Stegostoma tigrinum: one gene and its partner. The protein of the gene in region 2 purifies or fractionates together with the protein of the main gene of each other region. This does not show direct contact. Links are inferred from orthologs where the notes say so. Each region holds a gene or a part of one and is shown on either strand. Other genes may lie near its edges.

The links.
Region 1: the proteins of naa30 (region 2) and naa38 purify together in Homo sapiens (co-immunoprecipitation; 3 studies listed by BioGRID and IntAct, with this or other methods). This does not show direct contact. The link is inferred for Stegostoma tigrinum from reciprocal best matches to the Homo sapiens genes NAA30 and NAA38.

Annotation. Positions count from the first base shown.
Region 1 is NC_081398.1:14,294,787-14,305,471, forward strand, and holds the start of naa38 (N-alpha-acetyltransferase 38, NatC auxiliary subunit), read right to left. Parts: upstream 4,890-10,685; 5' UTR 4,876-4,889; intron 255-4,875; 5' UTR 248-254; coding exon 76-247; intron 1-75. Other genes in the region: cytochrome b5 domain-containing protein 1, read left to right, coding at 4,964-5,393, 6,709-6,785, 8,848-9,066.
Region 2 is NC_081363.1:49,432,106-49,442,388, reverse strand, and holds the start of naa30 (N-alpha-acetyltransferase 30), read right to left. Parts: upstream 5,031-10,283; 5' UTR 4,661-5,030; coding exon 3,872-4,660; intron 1-3,871. UniProt on the Homo sapiens protein: Catalytic subunit of the N-terminal acetyltransferase C (NatC) complex. Catalyzes acetylation of the N-terminal methionine residues of peptides beginning with Met-Leu-Ala and Met-Leu-Gly.

The DNA of each region.
Region 1 (10,685 bases), on a different chromosome or scaffold from region 2:
TCCTCATTGGTCTTGTCACTCACTCTGGAACACTTCCCCAAGTCTCTCATCCTCCAGTCACAAGCTACTGTTTACCTGTCGGTTTCAGGTACTCCTGGGCTGAGCCCAAAATGACGTTGCAGTCCCGGTCGGTGCACAGGAAGAGACCAATCAATGTCCTGCCATCAGTCATTTGGATCCTCATGCTTTTGTTCAGTAAGCTCTCTAACATCCGTCTGGAGTTTGAGGCCACGTTGCTGTCTGCCATATCCTGCCTGAAGAAACAGCAGATAAGGTCATCGGGACCTGCAGCGTGCTGACTCTCTGCTCATCACACAAGCTCACAGTAACTCACTGGGTTACCTGAATACATTCACAATACAATAACCCAACAGTCAGCATCTCAGGAAGCCTTGCCTTCCACTCCCTTTGGCCCTTCACAGCCAAAGCTGCTAATGTGAATGCCGATGTGCACATAGTATCATCCCACACCAACCCAAAATCTGTTTCAATGTTACTGACACACGGATAAAGGCAATGACAGGTTGAACGGACATTTCTTGCAGCATTCTCCAGTACAATTGGAATGAACCAATTCACTGTTCAAGACTTGTACACGTACTCAGAAGCACAATAACATGCGTACAGTCATAAGCACATGTACACAATCATAATAATACGCACATACTACCACATCCATGCACACGCTGGTCACAAATGGGGGCACATGGATTCCCTACTCACCTTATGCCCGCAACCTCCACTGATCGCGATCAACACCCCCATCATTTTTCACCTCAATTGCCTCAGCCCTGCACATCTTCACTCTAACAGCCAGTCCTTCACGATAACCCCCTCCCATTTTCCCCACTCAGCAGTTCCCCCAACTCCTGATTCTACCGCACCAGCATTCATTCTCTTTCACCCCACTCCAAGCTGCTTCCTGATATGCAGGTTCTGCTGCTTCCTATGCCCCAGTTTCCCCCACTCCCCTGGCTTCCCCTCTATCCCCAGTTCATTCTCCCAACACATCCACCCCCAGGTTTCTCCCAACCCTCCTTCCAGGTTCTATGCTTGGCGAACACCTCCCCAAACACCAGATTCCACTGCATATCTCCCCACTCAATCCCTCCAACCTCAGTTCCTTCAGCTTTCTCAGCTATCCTCTGGATGCCCCCCCTTCCCACTATAATCCAAATCCATGTTCTCCACCCACCTATCCCATTCCTTCCTACTTTCTCGCCAGTTCACCCTCTTCAACCTCCCCACATTGCCTGGTTTGATACCCCTCCCACTTATGCCCCAATTCCCATCCCCTCTCTATTCCACTAGTTATCTCCTCCAAGCACTGTACATTCCAACCCCAATTTCCCTGTTCATCCCTCCCCTTCATTCCCCAGTTCTAACTCTCCCCACCCTACCACCCATCTCTCTTCCTTTCTCTCCCCAGGCTCCCCCAACCCTACGTCCTTGCCCCATCTCCCAGTTCCCTTTCCTCTCCGCATCCTACCCTTGTCCCCAAATCCTAAATCCCTCCTCCCACTATCCCACAGATCCCCTCCAATCCCAGGTCTCTTCCTTCCTCACCCTGTTCTCCTTCATCTCCCATGCACTCCCTCCCCTCCACTCACACCATTCTGCCAACCCACTCCCATGGTTCCTCCCACACCCCAATTCCTTCCCCCCCTCCTCCTACTCCCAGTGTCGGCTCATCCAGCCCCCTACCTTCTCCCTTGTGCCCTCTTCCTCTTCCTCTTCTTCCCCACGCCTATTCTCACCATCCCTCCTTTCACTCCATTTCCTTTTTACTTCCCACCCCTCCCTCCCTGCCTTCTCCACCATCTTCCAAGGTCCTGCCAACCCGTTCCCACCACCATCTCTCCCAGTTCCCTCCCTCTTCCTGCCCTCTCCAACTCACCCAATCCCTTGGTTTCATCCTGTCCTATTTCCTTCACCTTCTCTCACTCCTTTGCATGTCCAATCATTGCCAGGTCTGCCTCATCATACTCTGGTCCAATTTCCACCTTACCCCGTCCCATCTTCATGATCACACCCCATTACGTCCTTCTGCCCAACTCCCCCATCACATGCCAATGTGATCAATCCCCCTGCCGATCTCCCCAACACAAACCAGAAAGCCCTCCAGCCCATCTCCCCCATTCACACTCCACTACCACTCACCCCCATGCCCCAGTAATTCCATCACACCTCAGTTCCTGCCATCTTTCCATCATCTCTCTCTCCCCTCAGCTTACTGATTTGAATGAGGTCAGCCAGGTGGACCTGATAAAATAGTTCCCTGACTGGGGCTGTTAATGTTGTAGTTGGTTGGCTCGCCGAGCTGGCTCGTTGTTGTTCCGCAGACGTTTCATTACCCTGCTAGGTAATATCGTCGGTGCAGCCTCTAACGAAGCGCCATTGTGATTTCCCGCCTATTATCTAAACTCTGGAGTCTGTTGAGCTGGATTGCCTCACTTCTGGATTTTCTTCACAGTGGTGTGTCTATGGGGTCAAGCTCTATGTGTTTTTTGATGGCTTTCTTCATGGAGTACCAGGCTTCTAGGAATTTCCGTGTTTGTCCCTGCTTTGCTTGTCTCAGGATCTTGATGCTGTCCCAGTCAAATTGGTGGTTCTCCTTATTCATGCGGAGAGAGATAAGTGAGTATTGGTCATGTCCTTTTGTAGCCAATTGGTGTTCATGCACCCAAATTAATTTCCTTCCTGTTTGTCCGACGTAGTGTTTGTCACAGTCTCTGCAGGGAATCTTGTATATGACACTGGTCCTGTCCATTGTGGGTAATGGGTCTTTCGCTCGATTGAGCAATTGTCGTAGAGTTGATGTGGGTTTGTGTGCTACTCTGATGCCCAGTGGTCATTCAGTCTTGTGGTTAGTTCCGATGCGTAAGGTACCGTGACAAGTGTGTCGGAGAGTGTGGGACAAGCAGAGCAGAGACAAGCACGGGAATTCCTAGAAGCCTGGAACTCCACCAAGAAAGTCATCAACAGACACATAGAACTAGATCTCTTCTATACTCCATAGCGAAGGAAAACTCAGAAGTGAGGTAATCCACCTCAGTGGACCCGACAGTTTAAACAACAGGTGGGAAAACACAACTGTGCTTCATTGGATAATAAAATGTGAGGCTGGATGAACACAGCAGGCCAAGCAGCATCTCAGGAGCACAAAAGCTGACGTTTCGGGCCTAGACCCTTCATCAGAGATGCTGCTTGGCCTGCTGTGTTCATCCAGCCTCACATTTTATTATCTTGGAATCTCCAGCATCTGCAGTTCCCATTATCTCTGTGCTTCATTGGAAGCTGCATTTATAATATTACCCAGTAGGGTAATGAAATGTCTGTGGAAAAACAACAAACCAGCTCAGCAAGCCAACCAACCACAGCATCCACAACCCAACCTACAAATCTAATGTAAAACCTTGGCACTGTTAACCTGATCCAATCAAGAGCCTGGATGACAGACATATACAGGAGTGTGAGAGATGCCAGGCAGCAGAAAAGCAGGAAAGTTGATGTTTTGGGTCGGGACCTGGTCATTCTTGGAGCTGGCTTTGAGCACGCTGGGTCAGCGTACAGTGCTGTACACATACATATAAAAAGGGTGACTTGGTGACGGGATATCAGCCTTTATGGAGTTATTTCATTTATCACCTTTGCTGTCTCTCTCCTCTCCCCAAGACGACTCCCCCCACCCCCGCCACCCCATCTCCTTCCTGTCTCCCTGACCACCCCACCACCGTCTCCACGACACCCAACTCCCTCCGCATTTCCCTTACCCCCCCGCAAGAGTCTCTCTGCCCCCTCACCATCTCCATTCCTCCCCCACCGTCTCTCTGTACAACCCCCACCATACTCCCCACCCCATGTCCCCACTGTCTCTGTCGCCACCCACCCTCCCACCCCATCTCTGTCCCCCCCCATTCCCCCCCGCCGTCTGGCCGCCACTCGCCATTCCCGCTTCTCTGCCAAACCCCTCCTCGCCATTCCCCCTTCTATGTCTCTGTACCCCCAACCTCAGCAAACTCCCTCCAGTCTCTCTGTCACCCCCCTCACCATTCCCCCTTCTGCCATCTCTCTGGAACCGCCCCCCGCCTCGCCATTCACCCCCCTCAGTATGTCCCTGTCCCCCCCCTCATCATTTCTCTGTACCCCCCCCTCACCACTGCCCATCACCATCTCTCTGTACACCCCCCCCTCACTATTCCCCCCAATTGTCTCTCTCTGTCCCGCCCTACCCCTACTATCTCTCTAGCCCCCAACCACTCCCCCACACCGTGTCTCTGTGCCCCCTCACGGCTCCACCTCCTTGCCATTCCCCACCACCATCTCTGTCACGCCCTCACCATTCACCCCCCCCAACTGTGTCCACGTTCCCCTCTCACCATTTCTCTATTACCCCCTCACCACCGTCTCCCTGTACACCTCCTCACCATTCCCCCTCCATTGTCTCTCTGTCCCCACCCACCGGGACCATCTTTCTGCACCCGCCCAACAATTCCCCACCCCAACCATCTCTCTGCCCACCCCTCCACCTCCCTCACCATTCCCCCCACCACCCCCTCTCTATTCCCCCCCTCACCATCCCACCCTGTATCTCTGCCCCTGCCAACCATGCCCCTCCCATATCTCTGCCCCCCCCCCCAACCAGGTCCCCCCGGTATCTCTGCCCCCTCAACCATGTCCTTCCCCTCCCCCCCTCATATCCCAGCCCCCTGCAACCATGCCCCCCACCCCGGTACCCCTGCCCCCGGCAACCCATCCCCCGGTCTCTGGGCACCCCAATCACCCCCCCAGGCTCTGGGCACCACAATCACCCCCCCCCCCCCCCCCCCCCCGGCTCTGGGCACCATCCCCCAACCAACACCTCACCTCCCTCACCATTCCCGCGTCCTGTCCCTGTCCCTGTCCCTGTCCCTCCACCCCCTCAAGGCGAGGCCACGCTCAGCTCCGGCCGCCATTTTAAGGCATGTTAAAAGAAAACGATAGAAGTGCACAGATTGCCGCTTTCTCCTGCCTCAAACCGAGCCTCATGCACCGCGCAGTCCCCGCGCTGCAAAATTACTCACGAAAAGCAGCTGTGAAGGAAAAGCTGCAGCGGCGGCGTCGCATTAAAAATCCAGCGGTTTTTTTGGTGAAAAAAAACCCAGCTTTTCCGCTTCCCCCTGGGAGATGTAGTTCCGAGGACCGGAAGTTGTACCCCGAGCCACTTCCTGTTACTATCACCATGGCGACGGAGGAGGCAGCAGTAGCAGGAGGAGCGAAGCACCCCACGACCATGCTGCACTCCCGCTACTACAGCAGTCGGGAAGTGGCTGTCCATAACACCATGAATGATTTGTGGGTCTCCTATTTGGGAAAAGTCTATGACCTGACCCCTTTAGCCGAACAGTTTAAAGGTGAAGAGCTCAGAATCTCTACAGTGTGGAAGCAGGCTATTCGGCCCAACAAGTCCATACCGACCCTCCAAAAAGCATCCCACCCTGTCACTGTAATCCTGCAATACCTGTGGCTAATTCACCCAAATCTGTCCATCTCTGGACACTCTGGGAAATTTAGCACAGCCAATCCACCCTAACCATTGCATCTTTGGACAGTAGGAGGAATCCGGAGCACCCAGAGGGGACCCACAAAGACACAGAGAGAATGTGCAACCTCCACATAGACAGTCACCCGAGGGTGGAATCAAACCTGCATCCCTGGCACTGTGAAGCACCACCTTCATCACTCAGCCCGGCATCAACCTCCACAACGACAACTTGAGCCCTTCTTGTGGTCAAAGGAACAACTTTCAGGCGAGCAATTACTGAACCTATGTGGTTCTATGCCTAAACCACAAGGAAAGATTACAGCCGGTGACCAAAGCCCCGAGAGGATTAAGGAGGGAATGCCACAGTTTGGGGTCCAGTAGCTGAGGGCACAGCCTCCAGTTGTGGAGTACTGGGATTCGGGGGATGCACGAAAGGGTTGTATTGGTTGTTGGAGTGTAGAAATTTTGGACTCGAGGGGGTCACAGAGTTTGGGAGGGAGGTAGGGGCTGGAGGACTTTACAGAGATGGGAAGGGGTGAAGAGAGTGGCAAAGTTACAGAGAAGGCACGAAACCATAAAGGGATTTGAAAACAATGAGTGAGAATTTTAAAATCTGGACCAGCAGGCAGTTTAGGTTAGTGGGTGGTGGGGAAATGGGAGTTGGCCCCATCTGCCCTTGAAAAAGATCCTGTGGCTGCTATTTCAAAGCAGAGCTGTGAGGAGGGGAGGGACGGGACTCTCCCTAGAGACCTGTGGCAAACATTCATTCTCCAGCCAACATAGTTTAAAAAATAATTATCTGGCCATTATCACATTCCTGTCTGTGGAACGTTCTTGTGCACAAATGAGATGACGTGATTCTGGCATAACAACAACAATGTACTGTAAAATATTTTATTGATTGAAAATTACTTTGATCTGCCGGGGGGCTGTACGACCCTGTGACTCCAATGGTCATGAACGGCGCTATGTCAATACAAATCTTCTTTTAGTGATGACCTCGAAATTTTGCATCTTTCCTCCCTGTTGGCCCTGGTTTAATTGGCCATTCGGGGTTCAAAATTGATGGCATGGAAAGCACTTCATTTACATCTGTAGATACCTTTCAGAAGATATAGCTGGCAGACAGTATCTTTTGTGCTATATCCAGGCTGTGCTGATTCTGTATTCTCCCTCTTATCCAGGTGACATTCTACTGAAACCCATTTTAGAAGCAGCTGGACATGATATCAGCCACTGGTTTGATGAGAAGCGTAAAGATGTAAGTATGGAATCTCAGCTGCCAGGGGAAATGAAACTGAAGACAATGAGCATCAACCAAAGCATTTTAGCAACAATTTTAATAATTCACCATCTGACCAGGGACTACAGTACCCAGCATCGCCCTATCCATATTTAACCTGGCGTTTAGCATACTTGGGAAAGTACATTGATTCTCAAAATCCACTACTGCGTTGTTACAGAACTTAATGATTTAATCAAAGCATGCAAATTCCCTGGTTTATCTCTCTGATGGAATCAATCTAACACAAAATGTTGACCAGGTTCCTGTGCTTTAAAAAGAACTGTATAAAACATTGGTAAAGCTAGAGTACTGTGCGAAGCTCTGGAATTTGCTTTACAGAAGAAATATAATAGCACTGGAGAAGGTGAAGAGGAGATTTACCAGGTTGTTGCCTGCGCTGGAGAGTCTCAGTTATGAAGAGAGATTGGACACACTGGGACTATTCTGTTTTGAGCAGAGGAGATTGAGAGGGGACATGATTGAGGTGTATAAAATTATGAGGGGCGTAGATAAGGTAGACAGGAAGAAACTTTTCCCCTTGATGGAGGGATCAATGCCCAGGGAGGATTTAAGGTAAGGGCTTTGATGACATGTAAGGAGAAAGATTTTCACCCACAGAGTGGTGGGAATCTAGAACTCAGTGCTTCTAAAGGTGGTAGAGACAGAAACCATCATTACGTTGAAGAAGTATTTAGATGTGCACCTATTGGGTTGAACATTTTGGGTTGTTGTGAAGTTTGTGCATGGCATCTGACATTCCCAATGAACCCTCTCAGCGTATTAGCGCCTTCCCAACTGAATCTGCCCCATTTCGGTTGGTCGCACGCCAGGTGAAGAAAGGCTATGGTGGAGGGAATGTATAACCACTTTGGGGAGGCTTTGAGGACCACCCTAAAGCATTTCTGCTGCTCCGAATAGTGTAGTGATTTCCAGAGTCAGCTGCCAAAGATATAAATGGCATGTCCTACCTACGGGAGCTGGTTTGGACTAATTAATGCCTCAGTGTGCTGCTGGATTCCCAGTGTCACCACAGGTTTTGGAGACTCTTATGAAGGCCATGCTGGTGGTGCTTCTCCAGTCTTGTGAGGTGCTGGCTGTATGCTGTGCAAGTCGCCAAAGCATATGGGAGCCTGGAGATCATTGCTGCCCAATAAAATTTGACCTTAGTCTGGTTTGAAATTTTAGTCTTTGGATCCTCTTCTCCTCAGTCAGCTGAGGGCCGAGTTTTGGTGTTTTGGAGGCAATGAGGAATTTTCTCATATTCCTTCAATGCAAGGAAATTGTGATAATAACCTGTATGGAACACAACATCAGTCTCAACCAGATTTCAATTCAGGGAGCTGCACTTAAGAAGGATTTAAAGGCTTTAGTGAGAAAGGGCAAAAATGGTTCTAGGAATGAGGAATCTCTGTGACGAAGGGAGATTGGAAAAATATAGAGAAGAAAGGGCTAATAGAAGATTTAATCAAGAGGATAGAGAGAAACTTTTCTCATTGGAGGAGGTATCAATAACAAGAGGGTACAAGTTTCAAGTGGTTGGTGAAAGAAGCAATTGTGACAAGAGGAATACCTTTTCCACACAGTGAGTGGATAGGATTTGAATGTGCTGCCTGACAGTGGTAGAGACAATTTCAGGTGAGGTTTTCGAAAGAAATTTGAAACATTTTCTGAAAAGGAAAGATTTGGACATCTTAGGGTAAAGATAGGGGAGGGGGTCTAGCAGGATTGCTTGTGTAGAAGACCAGCACAGTACAATAAGCTGAATGGCCTTCTGCTGTCACTGTTCTGTAATCCTATAAGTCTCTGTGACCCGATCCTCCTGACAGAAATGAACCCCCCCCCCCCAACCACTACCACCACCCACCACTAAGCCACAGAGCTGGACTAGGAGCATTGAAGGACTCTGGGCACAGATATAACTTAGTCTTGTGTAAAATTGTCAGCTGGAGAGGAGGGGGAACAGGCCACAAAATAGCAAGCAGCACTATGTACCATAATAATGGAGCAATGAACAGGAATCTCTTCATTCCCAACGTAGATTCGCATCAAGATTGACCAGCTCGCCAATTGCCAGAAGTACCATACTCCTCGTGGACGCTTTGCTCACATTCCACCCCTCATGCCAATGAGTGATTGGTCTAATGCCTTTGGGACGCCATGGTGGAAGGATCCAAAGTATGAGGTTGGATATTTAACTGAAAAAACAAGAGATATCCGTATTATCAACACGCTAACAGGTCAAGAACAGGTGATTGAGGTATGCAGCTTCAATTAATCAGAAATTGCTGGAAAAACTCAGCAGGTCTAACAACATTAACTCTGCTTTCTCTCCACAGATGTTGCCAGACCAGCTGAGTTTTTTCAGCAATTTTGTCTTGTTTCTGATTTGCTACATATGCACTTCTTCATTTTTAAAAAATTAACTGGCGTTTGTTTTGAGTTAGGAAGGAATTTGATTGAGATGGAGGGGGGTTGTCACATGACAGGGTTTGCTTTCAGGAAAGCTGAAGTCACTAATGTGTTCTGACAATTGATCAATATTTCAAACCATCTGTTTTCAGGTGACACATAAAATGGTGCAGAGTCTTACATCCAAACATTCAGCAGTTAAACAAAACCCTCCAGAAACATGACTGATTGCAGAGTGAATGACTGAGAGACACCAATCATTGTACGTATAGCTCCCTGAGGGAGAAGCTCTCAGAGACACCGGTCTAGTGTACAGATTTATCCCTGCAAGAAAAAGATTGAGACTGCTAAGTAACTCAGCGAAGGAGGACTTGCTGACCCCAACAGTGTAAGAATACCAAATGGTAGAGGTAAACATAGTTAGAGACAAGAAAAACTGCAGATGCTGGAATCCAGGTAGACCAACAGGAGGCTAGAAGAATGCAGCAGGCCAGGCAGCATCTGGAGGAAAGGAGCAGTCAACGTTTCAGGTAGTACACTTCTTCAGGACTGGATGTGGGGGTGGGGGAGCTGCAGTGTTGACTCTGCTTTCCACCAGATAGAGGTAAACAGTTTTGTTGAAAACTGGCGCTGAACAGCGAGCAGATGGGTTCTGGTGATGTTGGGAGGTAGGGGGAGAGAGAGGGGAAACCTTAAGAGTAGTAGTGGGCTGCGGAAGGGGACAAAGGAGAATACTCTGAGAACAAACACATCAAACTTGGCCAAATAGAAAAGGCAGGAAAATAGGTTGAAGGGGACAACTCATTATTGAAACAGGTCATGGACTGAATGGATTGTAATATACAAAGGTTCAGAGGACCATGAGGAAATTAAAAAGACATTCCTTCCTTGACAGCAATAACCTAGGACCTGGATCTACCTCAATATCCTTTTTCTAAATTAATGATTCTTTCATAGTATCAGCTCTTGCCTCTGAGTTAGGCAGTACAGTGGTATACAGTAAGGAGAGAGTTATCCTGAGAGTCCTTAATATTGACTTCAGACTCCAGGAAGTCCCATGTTTTCAGGTCAAATATGGGTAAGAAAACCTGCAGCTGATTACCACGTATCGTCCTCCCTCAGCTGATGAGTCAGTGCCTCTGTATGTTAAACACCACTTGGAAGAACCATTGAGAGTGGCGAGGGTACAGAATGTACTCTGGGTGGGGGATTTCAATGCCCACCACAGGAGTGGCTTGGCAGCATAATTACTGGTTGAATTGGTTCGGTCCTAAGGGATATTACTGCTGGACTGTGTCCGTGGCAGGCAATGATAGAACCAACAAGAGGGAAAAACATACTTGATTTCATCACCCCCAATCTACTGTTGCATTTATGTATGCATTGATATATTTGTCAGTGACAGCACCAGTAAGAGTCACTACGGTACAGCCATGTCTTCACATTGAGAATACCTTCTAATGCATT
Region 2 (10,283 bases):
CTTATCACATGCTTTCTAGAAAACAAACTGTAATATATCCATGAGAGATAATGGGAACTGCAGATGCTGGAGATTCCAAGATAATAAAATGTGAGGCTGGATGAACACAGCAGGCCAAGCAGCATCTCAGGAGCACAAAAGCTGACGTTTCGGGCCTAGACCCTTCATCAGAGAGGGGGATGGGGGGAGGGAACTGGAATAAATAGGGAGAGAGGGGGAGGCGGACCGAAGATGGAGAGTAAAGAAGATAGGTGGAGAGGGTGTAGGTGGGGAGGTAGGGAGGGGATAGGTCAGTCCAGGGAAGACGGACAGGTCAAGGAGGTGGGATGAGGTTAGTAGGTAGCTGGGGGTGCGGCTTGGGGTGGGAGGAAGGGATGGGTGAGAGGAAGAACCGGTTAGGGAGGCAGAGACAGGTTGGACTGGTTTTGGGATGCAGTGGGTGGGGGGGAAGAGCTGGGCTGGTTGTGTGGTGCAGTGGGGGGAGGGGATGAACTGGGCTGGTTGAGGGATGCAGTGGGGGAAGGGGAGATTTTGAGTCACTCTCTCCGTGACTCCCTTGTTCGCTCCACACTGCCCTCCAACCCCACCACACCCGGCACCTTCCCCTGCAACCGCAGGAAATGCTACACTTGTCCCCACACCTCCTCCCTCACCCCCATCCCAGGCCCCAAGATGACATTCCACATTAAGCAGAGGTTCACCTGCACATCTGCCAATGTGGTATACTGCATCCACTGTACCCGGTGCGGCTTTCTCTACATTGGGGAAACCAAGCGGAGGCTTGGGGACCGCTTTGCAGAACACCTCCGCTCAGTTCGCAACAAACAACTGCACCTCCCAGTCGCAAACCATTTCCACTCCCCCTCCCATTCTCTTGATGACATGTCCATCATGGGCCTCCTGCACTGCCACAATGATGCCACCCGAAGGTTGCAGGAACAGCAACTCATATTCCGCCTGGGAACCCTGCAGCCATATGGTATCAATGTGGACTTCACCAGTTTCAAAATCTCCCCTTCCCCCACTGCATCCCTCAACCAGCCCAGTTCATCCCCTCCCCCCACTGCACCACACAACCAGCCCAGCTCTTCCCCCCCACCCACTGCATCCCAAAACCAGTCCAACCTGTCTCTGCCTCCCTAACCGGTTCTTCCTCTCACCCATCCCTTCCTCCCACCCCAAGCCGCACCCCCAGCTACCTACTAACCTCATCCCACCTCCTTGACCTGTCCGTCTTCCCTGGACTGACCTATCCCCTCCCTACCTCCCCACCTACACTCTCTCCACCTATCTTCTTTACTCTCCATCTTCGGTCCGCCTCCCCCTCTCTCCCTATTTATTCCAGTTCCCTCCCCCCATCCCCCTCTCTGATGAAGGGTCTAGGCCCGAAACGTCAGCTTTTGTGCTCCTGAGATGCTGCTTGGCCTGCTGTGTTCATCCAGCCTCACATTTTATTATCTTGTAATATATCCATGTCACCTTTAGCGACACCACACTTCTTTAAAGGAACTCCTGTAGGTTGGATAATCATGATTTCTCTTTGACAAAACCATGTTGATTCCACCTGATTACCTTGAACCTATGTGCCCCATAAATAATATCTTTAACAACAGCTGTCATGGGGAAGACGTTAGAAAATGCAAAGCTAACTGGCATTGCTACGTGGGCCACAATTGTGTAGCCATCAGTATAGTCTAAACCATGGATATGTTGGGGTTATAATATGGCGGTTACCAAAGGCTCTTAGCCTGGAGAGATTGAAAAATCTTCCTGGACAGTCTAAACCTAACCATTGCCTGTTGTAGAAGCTAATCGTGAATGAATCCCTGACTAAGCTGAATTAGGTAGCGAAGAGACTTGGCACATTGTCTTGATTGACTCTTGTCTGGATATAAAAGGACACTTACTAATCCATTGGGAAGAATGGATACTGTCATATTGTCATAGACGAATCACAAAAGGCAATGAACTTGTTGAACAACAAAGTCAGTGGAGGACTTTCCAAATAGCTTCATGATTCATGGCGAAGGTCTGTGACAGATCAATAAAGCTTACATAAACCTCTGAATTTGTTGCCCACAAATTTTTAGGATTTACTGAGTGCCAAAGATAGCGTTTTGAGATTACCTTTGAAGGTTGAAAACTGCCTTGAATCTCTGGAAAAATGTTACTGACATAAATCTGATGGTTCAGGATGATTCATGTGACAACTTTCAATTCAGTATATTGAAAATATGTAAACAGGTGTTTGTTGTTCACATTACAATTTCATCTGTGCTGGGGAGACCAAACATTTTTTGAGCAACTACTTTGCGAAATTCTTTACTTCAAGCAAGCATAATTGAGTTTTTAATAGCATATCATTTTAATTCTCCACTTTGCCCTCATGCTTACAGTGCTGCCTTTGGCCTACTAGTGTTCCAGCGAAACTCTGAGCAAGATGATCAGCATCTCTTTCAATCAGGCACCGTAAGCCTTCTGGGTTCAATTCTGGGGTTTGAAAATTTTCAGAGGATGATCTCTTAGAAAATACAAGGGGAATTGTTTGGGTAAGTTTCTAATATCTCCCTGATATTCTCAAGCAACTCACGGCATAACTTGAGTGTGACAGAATCCTGCAAAGAAACAGCAGCTACTGGCAGTGAGATCTGAGGTTCAACACACAGCAACACGTGAGGGCTCTCACTTAGATCAAAAATGCTGAATTCATGTGGAACTCGAAACAGATTGAAAGAATGGGCTCACTTGGCACAACAGGAAAAATGAGAAATGTAGCTCACTGCGAAAGAAAGTCTTGAGTTTAACAGTTCCCAGGCTGAGAAAGAATTAGAAGTAAACTTTCAGGAGCTAAAAAAAAAAATCACTGGACTGGTTCTGGAAGAACTGAATATATACACCTACAAAAGTGTATACTTACAAAAAGATATCTGTAAACAGTGTTTTGGGTTGTGCTAAAGAAAAACAGGGAATGCTCTGTTTTGTGGCATAGAAGATCACTTTTCTACAAAGATTTATCAACATTGTCAATAATCTTTACTTAAGTAATGGTCTTAAATATGAAAACTTATGTCATTATTTATGTTATTAACTGCAAGTTTCTATTTGCTTTTAAGAGTTATCAAACTCTCAAGAAAATCATAATGCCATGCTAAAAAGAAACAAGTATGGTTAAGTAGCGAGGTGCCACATTTTCGGCTTGCAATTTAAAAAAACTCAAAGAAAGTCTCCATGCTGTAGTCACCAATGAAGTCTAATAAGATTATAAATATTTTGCACCGAATAAAAACAAACATTCAAATCATCTCCACTGTTCACAGTGGTGTTTCAGGTAAAAGCAGAAAGGCCGAGAGGTGAAACAATTTCTACGTTATGAGTTTCATCTATAGTAGCTACAGCAATTCAAGTCATCCTAAGACGATGTGGCATTAACAACAGTGCTACTTAAATAAAGTCTGTCAGTATAGCAAATTTAAGTTTAATAATATACCACAATTTCAATGGATTTTAGAACAAGCCTTTGAACTCTCCATCTAGTCTTTCACATGAATCAGAACTGCAAAGTCAAGGTTATTTGTCACATTGAGGACTATAAATAGCATGGCAAATTCATTCTTTTGCAACGCAAGTTCTCAAAGCCTAGATGCTTACAAAAATAAAACTACTCATTAACATGACGACTATTGATAGCAACTGAAAGTGTGGGAATCAGCATGCAAAATGCCAAAGTGACCTTTCCTTGGCAACTCATTTTCAGTGCTTACAAAAAATAAGGTCTTACATTCGGGACATTTCACAGGCTTTTCTATTAAGCGCATTATTCTCGATATACATACGTATACTACATAGTCCCCTACCAACATACCACACTTACCAGAAAACAAAGCTGCGGCCAGTTGTGAATAAAATATCTATATGTATATATGGAATAAGGTTCAGACAAATCTTTCGTGATCAATCTCATTATATCTGGCATTTGCAACTCTGACTCATAGCCAACATATCGTATCCTGTCGTTCGAGTCGGGCTCTTGTTGCGGGTGCAAACTACAAGCAGCTATCGAGGCGGCCAGGCGGTATTGCTCATCGTCATCTGGGCCGATACCAATCCGGTCGAGTCCATCTCTGGGGTTGAGTGTGTCAGGGCCGGCCGCCTCGGCAGTCCTTTGGCTCGCATGATTCACATTGGGACTCTCACAATATTTGCCGTCGGCTTTCCTCCTGCCTCCTTCGGAGAGTGACAGTCCAGACTGAAACTCGACGGCAGTGGCGGCCTCAGCGCAGGATAGGCGGCCTTTGCACTCCGCCTTGTAGTGGAGCTCAGGGTTTATAACACAGCCGTTGAGCAGCCGCTGCTGCTGTTGGTGGTGGTGGTGGTGGTGGTGGTGATGATGGTGGTGAAGGTGCAGGACGCCCTTCTTGGCTCGGTTAGGCTCCGGGCAGTTTCCGACACTGTTCGCCGAATGTGGTCCGCCTTCCCCGCCGCGTTCCTGGCCAGCCCCGTCCACAGCAGTCGCTTCCTCCTCCTCCTGCTCGCCGCCCCCTCCTGGCTGCTGCCCCGGGACCTTGCCGTACGCTCCCGAGTGGTTGAGAGTAGCGGAGAGGGGCGAGATGTCACTGGGGGCTGGGGACAGCACGCTAGGCCCGGGCGGTACATCAGACATCCTAAAGAGCGGAGAAACGCAGGGTCGGCATGAGGGCCAAAAGCAGCGGGGGGAGAGAGAGAGTGATCTAACCGGGAGAACGGGGCGGGAGGGGGGGGGGGGTAACCAGGAGGGGACTCACCGCCCGCCCTCAGCACTCACACATCCTACAGCCGGCCGGACCACACCAGGCCAGGCTGCACAGGACCGGGACCTGTCAAGCAGGGCCCGACATCCACACAGTCAGGCAGGGTGGGAGCAGGGGAGGGGGAGAGAAATCAACTCGTTGCCGAAGTGAGGAAGCCGGCCACTGCCTGCTCCCTCATACAGCCAGCCACTCGAGGCCGTTTCCACTCTCAACCTAGGCACTGCCGTAAAGTGAGGCTGCCGCGCGGCCCCGCCGCCCCATCTACGTCATAAATGCGGCTTCCCGTCTCGCCCTGAAAGTTGTTTTTACGACGTTGACCTTTAACCGACGCCGATTGTGCGTCGGGAAGGAGGATTTGACGTGAGGTTTTGGCGAATGGCCCTTGTGTTCTTGGGGAGAAGATAGGAGTTTGTGTAGTTCTGAGTAAATATCATTGAGCTAAATGCAGCCGTAATCTTTCCCTCCCTGATGAGTGATTATGTTTCTGTTTCTGTTTCTAGTGTGAGTTTGGCCTCTGGAAACTGTTTAAATCATTCCCTAGCTGCAAGTGCCATTTTGTGTCCACTGAGCCTTTGCTTTCTTCATATTGCAGTTTGTGAGTTAAGCTATTGTGTCTTCTGTCAGCCTCAAATCCAAAATTAGAATTTATTTGATTTTAGTGAAACACGTGTTTTATTATTTGCGATAACAAGGTGTAGAGCTGGATGAACACAGCACTCCAAGCAGCTTCAGAGGAGCAGGAAGGCTGACGTTTCGGGTCGAGACCCTTCTTCATTCTGCTCTCTTTTAAAATGTCATCCTTAAGTGTATATTTTCACAGCTATTGTAGCTGAAGCTGGGTAACTGTCAAATATACAAGGGACTGGCCTAAAATGCTCCCGAACGAATCCTTTTCCAAACACGCTAATACAACTTGCACATCGGATTTCATCGGCAGTTCTTACTATCTCTCAGTATAAACCCCAGGTGTTTTTGTCGCATCCTCAATTGGTGTTGAAAGTATCAGCCCAATTGTGTGAAACAGTGATAGGTGCTGGATATGCGGATGCGGGCTGACCACTGTGACCTGACAAAAAGTGGTTTTGACACCGATTCACCGGAATCAAAACATTCGCTGTTGCTGAAACATGTGGGACGCAAGCTTGCAGGATTTCATTCAAAGGCGCCCTCTCTACTAAACATTCATAATAAGTGTGTTAAGTGCTTAATTAAAACACTGGAAGGATGAATTTCAGTGGATTATGCTCATATCCCACTGGGTAACATCGTTGCCTAATTAAAATCTAAAATCTATATCCAGTAAAGTTTAAATGAGTGCAGATTTAAGGATGCCATTTCACAGTGAAACACCTTTCCACAATGCACTTATTTATAGGAAACAGTAAGAAAATGTTGTGCGTATATATACACCACAGGCCAGAGATAGAGATGGTTCTGGGCCTGAGGTGTTATATTGTTTTGGCATTTGTGGAGAAAACAATGAAGTTCAAATGGGATACATTTTTTTCAGGGCTGAAAAATTTGATTTAGCAAACACACTAATTAGGAGAAGGCCATTCAACCTCTCAAGCCTGCTCTACCATTCAAATATCTTTCAAGGAGAAATAACCCTAATGGAGACTACTTGGTTACGGGCAGAGTATTGCTGTCTTTCATCTGCTTTTGTTATTCCACAATTGATTTTTCAGAGATTTCTGAAGTTTTTTTTAGATGATAAGAATACATTTAACAGGAAATGCATAATTCCCCTGTTAGCTGCAATCCTCAAGAATAAACAACACACCCTGAGGGAATAATTTGCTTTATAAAAATGTAGGTCAACAAGTATGGCATCAAATGTGTTTTGCAAAGTAAGCACAGTCTATGTGTTTATACTTTCTTAGTAACTGGTTGCAAGCTTTCTGTGGCCACTGTCTCAGGTTCAACTGTACTGTGTTTATGTTGTTTCAAATTTGCTCGAACTGAGCTGCTGACCCCATATGAAGAGAGTTAAGAATGGCTCAGCATTTCAATTCTGGTATATTGAAGCAGCTCAACTATCTAAACTTGCTTATCTTAGGCAAAAAAAATGATAATGAAAATCATGAAATTATTTAAAATGATGAATAATAATTTTTGAAGTGACATTCTTATTTTTCAGTTGTTCCATTTATTGTTACTTTGGCCCATTCTCAAACTATCCAATGATGTATTGTTTTGGTGTTCAGTAATTTCTGCTCAGTTTATTGTGCCTCAACTGCCAGAGCTCAATCCCACTCCAATGCTAACCTTGTTATTTGCCGGCGGACTAATAATTTGCTTTTCAGAAATACCTTTGGTGCCTTAGAGCCATGGGCTTCTGACCAGCTATCAGTGCTCATGTACTGCTCTGCTACCTACAATTTTGCCAGCTCTTGAACCGTCTATTTTGTGCCCTACTCCATGACGCTCTGTTTCAGGAGTTTCATCTATTAAGTAGTCCTGTTTCCCTCTTATGTCCTATTTGCTGTGTAGTTCACGCTGTCTCTCTGTTCTTCCATGAGTGCTTGTATCTGTTTTAGCCCCAATTCTGTATTCTCTATTCTTGTGCCCATTGCAGTCATTCTGTTAGTCTGCAGTGTGTTACTCTTCCTTTCAACTTTAACTCTTCTTGCAGTAAAATTTCTTCTCTTTCTCCTTATGTCCTGATGTCTCTTTGCTATTTAATATCTGTTCCTTTATCTAACTTTGCTTCTATCCATTTATATTCCTTTTGGACAGCAGCACTGTACTTGGTCACGCTACTTCTATAAACTCTTCCACTTCATGTTACTGTGAACCCAGCTGATGTTACTACTGCACAAGTCAGAACCAAGACTGAAATTTGGCTTGAAAGATCATATTTTGGTTTAACCAAGATGTTCTGTCATGGAAGCACAAGCATGCAACCCTGCACGTTTGGTTTTAACAATAAAATAGGAGTATTTATGCAAAGAAATGAAGATAGTATAAATCAGTCTCTCACTGAAGAGAAATCCCTTCTATGGCACATCCGTAGGGCTTAAGAAAATTGTGGATTCAATTCCCTGTCCTCAGAATCTGATAGCTTTTTAGTTGACTCTTCATAAAACTTAGCTTAGACTTTCTGATAACCTCTTCAGGATTTTAAATTAATGTTTCTGGTCTGAAACCTAAAAGATAAACTCTTCACATTCAGATAGTTTAGAACTATTAAGAAATAAGCTATTTTTCTTTATCAGGAGAAACGGCCTTATACGTCCAACTTCAGCCAAAACTTCTCCAAACCTTGAATTGAAACTAAAAAGCTTTTCCAAGGAAAGAACATCCAGTTTCTAGAATCTTCTAACTGAAGTTTAATGCACTGCACAATTTATTCTGTGCTCGTATAATTCTCCCAATGGAACCAAGTCCCCACTAGCTTCCAAGTGCTCTGTCTCTAATACTGATCATTGTGGCTGCAGAAATATTTAAATGTTAATCATTATAGGTCTTCACACACACAAATCTTACTCAAAATTTAGATTAATTGGTATAAGGGTAGATCAAATGAAGAAAATGGGATCTGTACCATTAGGGATCTACAACTGAACTGTACAGGAACTGTTGTATTTGGGAAGTTATGAATTGAGGAAAAAGGGAAGGCAACAAAGGAAGGAATTGATGTGGGAAATGATAAACAAACAATGACAGGAAAGGACAGAGTGCAGATCCAAGAGCAGATTGTCGGCTAAGACTGAAGATAATAACAGGACAAGACTTAAAACACTGTATTTCAATGCATGTATCATTCACAATAAAACAGATGAACTAGTACAAACTGAGACGTGTACAATCCAGCAGTCATAATTGAGATGTGGCTGCAGGATGACCTGGAGTGGGACCTCAATATTGAAGGCTGTATGACATTTAGGAAGGTCAGGAAGTTAGGAAATAACTTGAAAAAGATGATATTAACACAAAAGAGAGGGATGACTTAAGCTCAGGAAATTAGTATATAGAAGCAATCCGGATAGAGATGAAGTGATAATGGGAACGGCAGATGCTGGAAAATCCAAGATAATGAAGTGTGAAGCGGGATGAACACAGCAGGCCAAGCAGCATCTCAGGAGCACAAAAGCTGACGTTTCGGGCCTAGAACCTTCGTCAGAGAGGGGGATGAGGTGAGGGTTCTGGAATAAATAGGGAGAGAGGGGGAGGCGGACCGAAGATGGAGAGAAAAGAAGATAGGTGGAGAGGAGAGTATAGGTGGGGAGGTGGGGAGGGGATAGGTCAGTCCAGGGAAGACGGACAGGTCAAGGAGGTGGGATGAGGTTAGGTAGGAAATGGAGGTGCGACTTGGGGTGGGAGGAAGGGATGGGTGAGAGGAAGAACAGGTTAGGGAGGCAGAGACAGGCTGGGCTGGTTTTGGGATGCAGTGGGGGAGGGGAAGAACTGGGCTGGTTGTGTGGTGCAGTGGGGGGAGGGGACGAAATGGTATCAATGTGGACTTCACCAGCTTCAAACTCTCCCCTTCCCCCACCGCAATCTTTAGACGACGTCCATCCTGGGCCTCCTGCAGTGCCATAATGATGACACCCGAAGGTTGCAGGAACAGCAACTCATATTCCGCTTGGGACCCCTGCAGCCTAATGGTATCAATGTGGACTTCACCAGCTTCAAAATCTCCCCATCCCCCACCGCATCCCAAAACCAGCCCAGTTCGTCCCCTGATAGTTAGATATTGATAGTTAGTTTTACTTACTCAAAACTCATTCGGACCCTTTAGCTTGGAAAATAGCTAATATACCCCTCCTTTATTAAATAAGGGAGGGAGCCAGAAAGAGTGGTGGGGCAGGCTGAAAGGCCAAAGTGGTTTTCTTTTGTGCTTGGTTCGTGTGTAAATTAGACATCTTATATCATAATTTTATCTACCACTATCCCAGATAGCATACACTGAGTGGTCTATCAGAGTCTCCTGCTTGAGTATTGATTTGGATTTTATCCTGGATGCAGTGGAGTTTCACGGCTGCTTGGTATATACCTTTCATGACATGCTGAATCTGATCCTGTAGACCTACCTTTTAACTTGGCACTTCATAGCCTGCCTCCTGCCCTTTGCATCTTTGATCCTTCTCTGTTTTCTCGGAAGCAGTTCTTTGACTTCTGAAAAGTTAGATCGATGAAAACTAGACGGATTCATTTGCACTATTTCAATGCGATTTTCGTTCGAAATGGTAAAAATCATTTTTCTACCGAGAGCTTCTCCTGAGATTTTCTCGAGGGCTAAATTTTCTCCTCATGCTTTACTTCTGCATTGAGTCCCCGTATAGCAAGCACAAGAGAGAATCAACCTCAGATTGAAACAACTCCTTGCAGATTCCGACTATTCAGGTGCGAGGGCAACCTTTATTCTGAAAAGGGGCTAAAGGACTCGAAAACATAACCTCTGCTCTCTCTCTACAGATGCTGCCAATTCTGCTGTGTTTCTCCAGCAATTTGTATGTTTTTTTTATTTTTCTTTGATTGGTCGTCCCCGTG